Coturnix japonica: one gene and its partner. The protein of the gene in region 2 purifies or fractionates together with the protein of the main gene of each other region. This does not show direct contact. Links are inferred from orthologs where the notes say so. Each region holds a gene or a part of one and is shown on either strand. Other genes may lie near its edges. The genes, in order: TMEM259 and STYK1.

Region 1 (4,527 bases), on a different chromosome or scaffold from region 2:
CTTCTTCTTCCTCCTCCTCCTCCTCAGCCGTGGGCTCAACTACCATTCCTGGGAACTTCTCAGCACCACAGAACTGCAGGAAGATGGGGGCCCGGCTGGAGTTGCGCTGGATTTCCACCCTCAGGATGCCATCACGCGGCCATTTGTCCCTCACATGCTCCAAACAGTTGATGGGTGAACGGGAGAAGGCGATGTGAATGTACGCCAGGATGAAGAGCACAAAGAGAGCCTACAAACAGCAAGAAACAAAGCAGAGATTGTCAGCCCAACCAAACATTGCCCGTCGATAGGCTGCCCAGTTTCAGCCATCCCTTCTTCATGCAGATACTACAGCTGCAGGTGGATGAGAGCCTTTAAGCTTTCTAACCCTAACTGTATTTGCATCAAACAGCAGAACAGCCCCCAAATCAACTTTTCTTCCAGCTCCAGTGCTTATATAACACTCCCTTTGTACTTTGTCCTTCTGACACCTCGCTAACCTGCTGAAACCTCGTCTTTCTGAGGTTAAACACTAAGAGCCCTAAAGCTTTTCCTGGGAATGAGAGCTCCCAAAGTGCCTTTGACCAAAACTCCTCCATTAACACACCGTGCTGGGGCTGAGTGCAGCTGGCTGCCACCCAGGAGGCACACTGCCATGTTAATACATACACTGCCTAGGGTCAAAGAAGTGCTGACTTGCACAAAACCACGTGCAAAGTGCCTCCTGCCTTGCCTCTGTGTGCATAAGGGCACAGCATTTCCTTCCAAGCTCCAGCAGCATTCAGCACAGCTACAGAGCAGGTCAACTGCCACTCAGTCCCTACTGAATTCTCCCTCATTTCAAAGCATTGCCTGGAAGAAAACTGCCAATCCACAGATGGGTTTTTGTCAACTGATCCGCTGCCAACACAACCCAACCACCAGGAAAGGCCACCCGAGCTTATTCAGAGAGGTCGTAAAACACTCAGATCAATCTGTGTTTGATTTCTGCTCTCAGCCAGATGTTAATGATGGAATTAACATTGCTGTATTCAAAATAAAAGGCTGCAGAGGACTATATGGGTTTGTGGCACATCCAACAGGACAGAGCCACGCTCTGGGCTATGGGGTTTCAGCATTAAAGTACCAGCCACACAAACACACCCAAGGCAGCAGCAAGAACCAACACCAGGAGTTGGGATGCAAAGGAGTGTTATTATCAGAACAAAATGGCTTGCTTTAAAAGCATGCAGCCTACCAATGAGCAACGGGAGCTCCATTATAAAGACCTTTCAGGCTGGAGCAAATTCATTCCTAATTGAAAGATGCTTTCAGCTCCAAGTCACAGCAAAACAAAGTGAACTAATAAAACCCGTTTCCTAGAATGGAGTTATCCAACACTGGCCAAAGTTCAAGCTCCAAAGAACAGCTGTAAGCAGCACAGTTGCATTTCATGCATTCACTTTTAAACTGCATTAAGATGCCTCTTCTTGATTACAGTACCTGTCTTTGCCATGCACTCTGACCTATATGTTATGAATAAACAGGCTGGTAACAGCACATCTGCAATGAGCTGCATAGGAAAACAATGAGGAAGGTAATCCCAAAACAGATCCCTGGTGCAAGGGGAACGGTGATGAAAGCAGCCAGGAGCAGCACCAGAATGCCAAGCACAGCGTGGCTTCAGGCTTGGCCTCCCACCACTATCCTCACACAGAGCCACAAGCAGGCTGAAAGCACAGCTGCCTGCTCACCCTAAGGGCAGAAGCAAAGATCTCCTCTGGGAATACTTTAATTTCCTCAATGTGCTTCAATTAAAAGCAGGTGGCAGCAGGAATTTCTCCTGGCGTGACAAAACCTGAATTGGGCAGGGAGAATAGAGTGCCCACGTACAATACAGAGGCTGGATTTTAGAGCCCCATAGAACAAGAATCGTGTTGTTACCTAGTTGCCTTTGTGTCCCTCTCTTATTCCCAGAGGCACTGAGGGACACAATGAGCTCTGGGAGACACTTGACCTCACACAGCACCAGGCTGCCCTGCATTCTACAGCCTGATTCCCATAGGGCAGGCTGTAACTTCCAGACTCTGTGTTACCTAGTTGCCTTTCCTTTGTGTCCCTCTCTTATTTCCATAGGTACAGAGGGACACAATGAGCTCTGGAAGCCACAGGGCAACACCTCACCTCACACAGCACCAGGCTGCCCTGCATTCTACAGCCTGATTCCCATAGGGGAGGCTGTAACTTCCAGACCCTGTGTTACCTAGTTGCCTTTCCTTTGTGTCCCTCTCTTATTCCCAGAGAGGCACAATGAGCTCTGGAAGCCACAGGGCAACACTTGAGCTCACACAGCACCAGGATACTGCAGTCAGATTCCTATAGGGGAGGCTGTAACTTCCAGACCCTGCAGAATTCAGCTTTGCCACTCTGTCCCATCAAATTACATCAGCAAAAACACAAACAGGCTTCACCTTAGAGGGAGGACACCTGGCACACAGCTGAGGGCGTTGATTATGAAGAAGCAGAGATAAAACAGAGCTGTGCACCGACTGTATCTAAAGGGAATAGAACCCCATAAGCACAGCCGTGTGTGATGAGCACACAGAGGTTCTGCTGGCCTCACCTTGAGCAGCACGAAGAACTCGAAGACCCGACGGAAGGAAGGAGGGAAAAGCCTCGCGTAGGTCACTGCCATCTTGAAGAACAGCGCGTGGAACAGCCGGTCTCGGACGTTAATTAACGGGTTTTGATTGAGGGCCGCGTTCCTCCCGGCCCTATTGGTTCCCCCAGCGGCCCCGGTGTGGTTGGGCTGGGGGTGCTGCCCATGGGGCTGAGCTTCGGACATGGTGGGGCCTACACACAGGCCTGGTCTCAACCCACAGCCACACAACAGGGCTGCAGCTCTCAGCAGCCCTTAGAACGGTCTCGTAGCGGTGCTGCTCGGATGGGACGAGGCTCCTGAGGCGGCTCCGAGGCCATGGGCGGCCCGGAGGGTGGCGGTTCTTCTTCCTCCTCCTCCTCCTCTTCCTCACTAGGCCCCGTCCGCCCCGCACCGCCCCGCCGCCATCTTGCGGCACGCACAGCGCCGACGTAACGCAGCGCCGCAAGGAATTGTGGGATGGCCGGAAGAAGGAAGCCCGCCCTATATGTAAAATAGGAATCATCCCGCCGTGCATCGCGCGCGCTCGGCAAAAAATTTAGACGGTTCTGCCCAAAAAAAGACAAATTCCTGCAAAAAAGGAGCCTGAGCGGAATAAGTAAGAGCTTTTATTAAAGGGGTAATACCAAAAGAAGAAGTACACAGACATATAAAAGTTCAGCTCACCATTACTTTAAAGTTATTAGATAAAAGGGGTTTATATAGCCGACGATGGGAATAGGGAGTCGTGCTCGCTTCGGCAGCACATATACTAAAATTGGAACGATACAGAGAAGATTAGCATGGCCCCTGCGCAAGGATGACACGCAAATTCGTGAAGCGTTCCATATTTTTTACTGCACACCGACACCCCTCAGTGCTGCTCCCCAGCTCTATTTTTTACTCCCCCTCCACCCCCCCGGCCCCGTTTTGTCACAGCCACAAAGCACGGCGCTCCGCCCGCGGCACTGCAGCGCTTTATTATCGCGTTCAGAGCGAGCAGCACAGCCCGACACTCAGCCCCGCTGTAGGGAGCGGACCAGCCTTCCCCTGCGGTTCCGAGCCGGGACATCGTGACCCCAAACCAGCAGCGTGCTGCAGCCGGGCTCCAGGCCAGCGGCAGACCGGGACCAGTGGCTGTGAACCAGCCGGGAGCAGGGCTGGGGCTGGTGGGGGGGGTCCAGGGGGCTTTCAGCCACACTCAGACCACGCTCTCCCTATAGCTGTCGTCCTCCAGGAACGGTAACGGCGTCCTCCCGACCACTGGGGCCATATCCTGCCCTGCTGTTGCATCCTGCCCTGATCCCATGTCCTGTACCTGGTCCCCGTCGTTCTGCTCCCTGGCAAAGTGCACAAAGACCTGCAAGGATGGGGAGGGGGTGAGCAGCAGCAACAGCACGAAGGACCCCATACACCGTGCCCCCCCACCGCCATCACCTGGTCTAGGGTGGTCTGTGACACAGAGTAATCCTGGATGTGGCCGTGCCCGCAGTGCGCTGCCAACACTCCGAACACTTGAGCCAAGGAGCAGGCATTGGAAGGCAGGCGGTACTGCAGCGTGCTGCCGTGCTGCTCCTGCAGCGCGATGCCGGGGAAGCTGCGCTGCATCAGCTGCTGCACTGTACACAAAGCAGGGCCGGGCCCCGCAGCCCGCACCACCACCGTGTACCCATCCCCAAACCTGCACCAAGGAATGGACGGCAATGCAGGCAGCCCCTTCTCACCCACCCAGCAGGGCAGCCCCCCACCCATTACCGGTTCTTGAGGTGCTGAACGCTGCCCAGGCAGCGGAATCGGCCGTTGACCATGATGGCCATCCTGGTGCACAGCGCCTCGCACTCCTCCATGCTGCCGGAGGGGGGAAGGTGTGATACACACAGCAGGGACCACAGGTATCCCCTGTGCTGGGAACCCACCTGTGCGATGTGAGC
Region 2 (4,482 bases):
ACTGGGACTGTGTCTCTTCACTGCATGATCTCTACGTAAGCCGGTAGAACAGTAATTACAAATAGTTCAGTGATGTGGAGTTTTGTCCCTGAAAAACCAGAAGAGAAATCCCCTAGATTGTGCAAACCAACCTGTGGCCCTTATTCTGCATGTGGCCCAGTACAGCTCACAATGAAGTTCGCTCCCTGCCCCATACCATCATGGTGGTGGCTCTGCCCCACCAAGAGGTCTGGCCTGGCCCTGGGTGTGCACCCATCCCTTAGCAAACAACCAAACAATTCATAGAATCATAGAATCACCAAGGTTGGAAAAGACCTAAAAGATCATCCAGTCCAACCATTCATCTATTACCAATAGCTCCCACTAAACCGTGTCCCTCAACAAAATGGTCTCTGTTGTTATATGTTTTATATACTGTCCAAGATAATTCCTCTTCACACAGTGCAGCCCAAGCATGTCAGGAAGATGGACACCCATGTTCCAGACTGAGCATTTACTTCAGTTGCAAAGATTGTTACAGCTGCAAACTTTAAGCTCAGGCTCTGGTTTCTGTCATTGTTTTATGCTGGTGCTAACTTTCATTGACTCTCAGTGTTATTCTTTCCATGAGGATGCACAGGATCTGTCCTTTAACTCATTCCTGCTTAATACATGGATACACTGAAAACAACATTTTCTCTTTTACCTGTGTTATTTACTGAAATATTTTGCTTTCCACACGCTCCTTTTGTAAGGGCAGCTGGGGGAACCTCTTCAGAGGAACCTGATTCCTATTTAGGGATTAGGGTTTAAAAATACAATAACTGATAGTCTTCCTCCTTTCACTCCTTCTTCCTCAGTTTTCTAAATACCCTTTTTGCGGGGGGAAGGGGGGAAAAATGCAAGGGGTTAATATTCAAGGCATGCATAAGCAAAAGCAGCAATCCCCACTGCTTTTTGTTTCCTTAGTTAATCTTTCTGCTGTGCTCCCAGTCAGACTGGTCGGAGAAGATATTTAAACAGTTCAGAGTTCAGGTCTCAGACCAGTGTTCCTCACTGGTCCATAAACCCTTCCTCCTGTTCGGCTAAGGGACAGCACACATTTATTGTCACGTTTCATCTCGTTAAAAGCAAACTTCTGCTACAAGTTATTTATTCTGTCTGTGCGCATCCACAGGGAGAACACTGCCTGTTTAAATGTTTGTGTTCCTCTTGCTATTTTTCCTTATGCAAGTATGATAAGGCGCACTGAAATTGGTGGAGCGGCGGTTCCGTTAACACAAGTGTCCTCTTTATCTCCGAGACATCTACAGCATATGAAGCAACCATTCAAACCACATACACAACTGCTCAGTAATCTCTACAGTGCACTTTAGAGACTGACAGCAAACGCAGCCACAAACCATTCAGTCTTTTTCTTGTGTGAAGAGACTGTTAAAACCACAGGGCTAATCTTGTGGCTGAAAAGTCACAAAAATCAGCAAACTCCAAGTAACTGCCCAGAAAACAAGTTTCTTCTGAAAGGATCTCCTCTTTGGCATCCCAAAATCAGTACTTATCCACAGTTAGCCCATGGAGTTCTTCCCAGGACTCCAAGGGCAATAGGGCAACTGATAGACTGGAAAGTAGGTGCAGCACATATCACTTGCATTTCCATTAGCTTTGTGTAGTTTCCGGGTGTCATTGACCTTAGCAACTGGGTTCCTGAGCACATTATGTATGCATATTCTTCTGTTAATTTGACCTTTCCTCTTTCCATTTTGTTCATTCTGTTAAACATACAAACTTTCCTCTTAAGTTCCTGGGTTTTGCCACTCCATTTTTTCACATAGTTCACATTTCCAAGTGAGAATACAACAGTTCTTGCTGACAAAACTTAGAAGCTGTTGAACATACTTAAGCACCCTGTGTAAGTATTGAATAAATTGCACCACTTCACACAAAAAGAAGTAGAGGAGCCATCTCTCCTCCAGGAAGGTTGCCCACAGAGACCTTACTAGAACTAGGAAGTACATATCACAATATATCACATAGCAGTTTCAAACAAGGGGTCCATTAATGAGCACTGTGCCTCAGACAGCTGGCCATGGGACTTCTTAGGGAAACTAAAGCTCAAAACAACATAAAATGGTATTTCTCACAATGCTTTCCATTGCCTCCAGCAACCCGTGATACAAGAATTTATTTAGCCAAGTATTATCTTTTCTTTCATCTGTTTTGAAAGATTTTGCCTACTTTCAACACCCTGCACAATTTTAGCAACACGGTACTTCATGGTAAATTCCACAGTTTTCATGTAACTTGGTATGTTTATTCTTTGCATAAGGGTGGAGTGCAATATTCAAACTAGCTACTTATTGTGCACAGCTGGCAGTGAAATGAGCGATGGCTACAAGAGATGAGTAAAAGTTTCACACATAATTAAAATATTAATATATTCAATTATTTAAAAGCAAGAGGAGTTTGATGTTTGGATACTAGAAGAAACAGATTGTAAGGTTTGGATAGGAATAAAGAATAGGACACAATCAGGGGTGTGACCCATTCAAAGGGCCGTGATCCTCAGTCTCCTATATACCACTTAAAGCCTATTATCAACAACTTGGACAAACGTTGTGTCTTGTTTCTCAGCCATCATAGAATTTCCTGCCCTTCTTTGCTTAGCCCTGCAAACACCTTCTCCAATAACTGTTTATAAAGACAAAAATCATGAAGACGGCAGGTGTACCTCTGTAGGAAAGAAAGCAGATGCAGCCAACTTCGAGAGTTCGTGCTTGAGGCATCACTTGGCTCTTATCTTCAGATCTCTCACAACAACAGCTCGGGGTACCTGGTGGGTAAAGGACGCCAGCATCAAAGGGTGTCGCGGTGTAGGGCCGTGGGAACTGGGGAACCGCAGACAGGTAAGGGGGGCATTACCTTCTGCTCTCCGACCTCCGGGAGTACTTATGTTTTGTGGCAGGCCGGGGACGAGGCAGCACGCAGCAGGCAGAGGGCCAGGCCTTCACAGGAGGCCATGGCCGGGGAGCAGCGCGGCAGGGGCCCGCTGAGGTGCCCGCTCTGCCGCAGCCCAGGGCCGGCCGCGACCGCGCTGGAAGGAAGGAAGGCTGGGCGGACACGACAGTGCTAGAACCAGCAAGCACCCTCCTGTCGCGGCTCCGGGGCACAGCTGTCCGGCTGCACCGCCACTTCCAGCCCCCTGTCCTTCCCCTTCTTTTCCTCACGGCCGCCTAACTGTTTGTCCAAGCGTTTCCTTGTCGTGAAACAGAAGATTAACCGAGGTGGGGAGTTCGAGGGCAGAGCAAGCACGAGCGTACAGGGAAGAACGTTTTCTCGTGTCACGCTCCCGCCCGTCCCTGTTGTTAGAATTAGGAGGAGGGAGCCGCGCTATATACGCGAGCTCGGAGGGTTGGGGTTGAGCCGTGGGGTCTGTTAGGCGTGTCGGTTGCGGCCTGGCACAGGGCGAGGCGGTACGGGCTGCCAGGGCGGGGAGGAGTCTAAAGGATCCTGACGGGGTTCCTCACGGACACTTGGGACTCGGGATGGGGTGGTAAAGGTGCAGGGATCACCAGCTCTCTGCCTTCTGTCCGGGCATCGCGGCGGAGTGAGGTTGCCCTGCAGTCACTGTGGTGGGTGACAGTCTGGATGAAATCGGGACTGTGGCCGCTTTTTTAAGACCCTTGGCATCCCTGCTTTGTCGGCACATAGTTATTTAGTAAGACTTAAATGCCTGGTGAGACCTCTGAACACGAAGCACCCTGATGGAGCTTTAAATCCATTATAACTCGTTGCGTTCCTTCCACACTTCCACACAATAAAAAACTGAAAATGGATACCCTCTGATAGCGCTTGAGCAATGACATATATTTAAGATAAAACAAACAAAAACGTTGCCTACTGCATGGCGTAATTACCACAGTGAAACTCTATCCATAGTGTCATCCCACCCCTTGTTTTCAGAGAAGGAAATAAAAGCAAGGCTGTATGTCTCATGTTTGGACAATATCAAGGTTCAGAAACTCACTGATGAGCTTGAGTCTACCTGTTTTTGCTTCCTGCACATTTAAGCTGAGGTTGCTCCTACAACTTAGCTGGGTATATAGTTACAGAATTTAGTATGTGCAGTTATCTGGTGTGCGTGTGAAATACTGGATGTAAATGGGGATTTTACAGCTCACTTTGGAAAACGGGGACTGGTCTGTGTCAGGATATTTGAGAGAGAGGCTGTAGCAGAATAATAGATAGAACTGTCTAATGATTGGTTTAGTGGGAGCTATTAGTAATGGGTGAATGGTTGGACTGGGTGATCTTTTAGGTCTTTTCCAACCTTGGTGATTCTATGATTCTATGATTCTATGATTCTATGAACTCTTTGATACAGATACTAAAATCATTAATTGGCACAAATACAGCCAATTAATTGAGTGTAATTCCCTCTGAATCACTGAAAATGATTTCAAAATGGATTAAAAATAGTATCCAACAGGCAGTTGTTAACTTGTA

The links.
Region 1: the proteins of STYK1 (region 2) and TMEM259 purify together in Homo sapiens (affinity purification with mass spectrometry; 3 studies listed by BioGRID and IntAct, with this or other methods). This does not show direct contact. The link is inferred for Coturnix japonica from reciprocal best matches to the Homo sapiens genes STYK1 and TMEM259.

Annotation. Positions count from the first base shown.
Region 1 is NC_029543.1:1,976,585-1,981,111, forward strand, and holds the start of TMEM259 (membralin), read right to left. Parts: upstream 3,067-4,527; 5' UTR 2,804-3,066; coding exon 2,582-2,803; intron 230-2,581; coding exon 1-229. Other genes in the region: phospholipid-transporting ATPase ABCA7, read right to left, coding at 3,798-3,956, 4,034-4,277, 4,352-4,444, 4,513-4,527. UniProt on the Homo sapiens protein: May have a role in the ERAD pathway required for clearance of misfolded proteins in the endoplasmic reticulum (ER). Promotes survival of motor neurons, probably by protecting against ER stress.
Region 2 is NC_029516.1:70,357,232-70,361,713, reverse strand, and holds the start of STYK1 (tyrosine-protein kinase STYK1), read right to left. Parts: upstream 2,810-4,482; 5' UTR 2,708-2,809; intron 1-2,707. UniProt on the Homo sapiens protein: Probable tyrosine protein-kinase, which has strong transforming capabilities on a variety of cell lines. When overexpressed, it can also induce tumor cell invasion as well as metastasis in distant organs.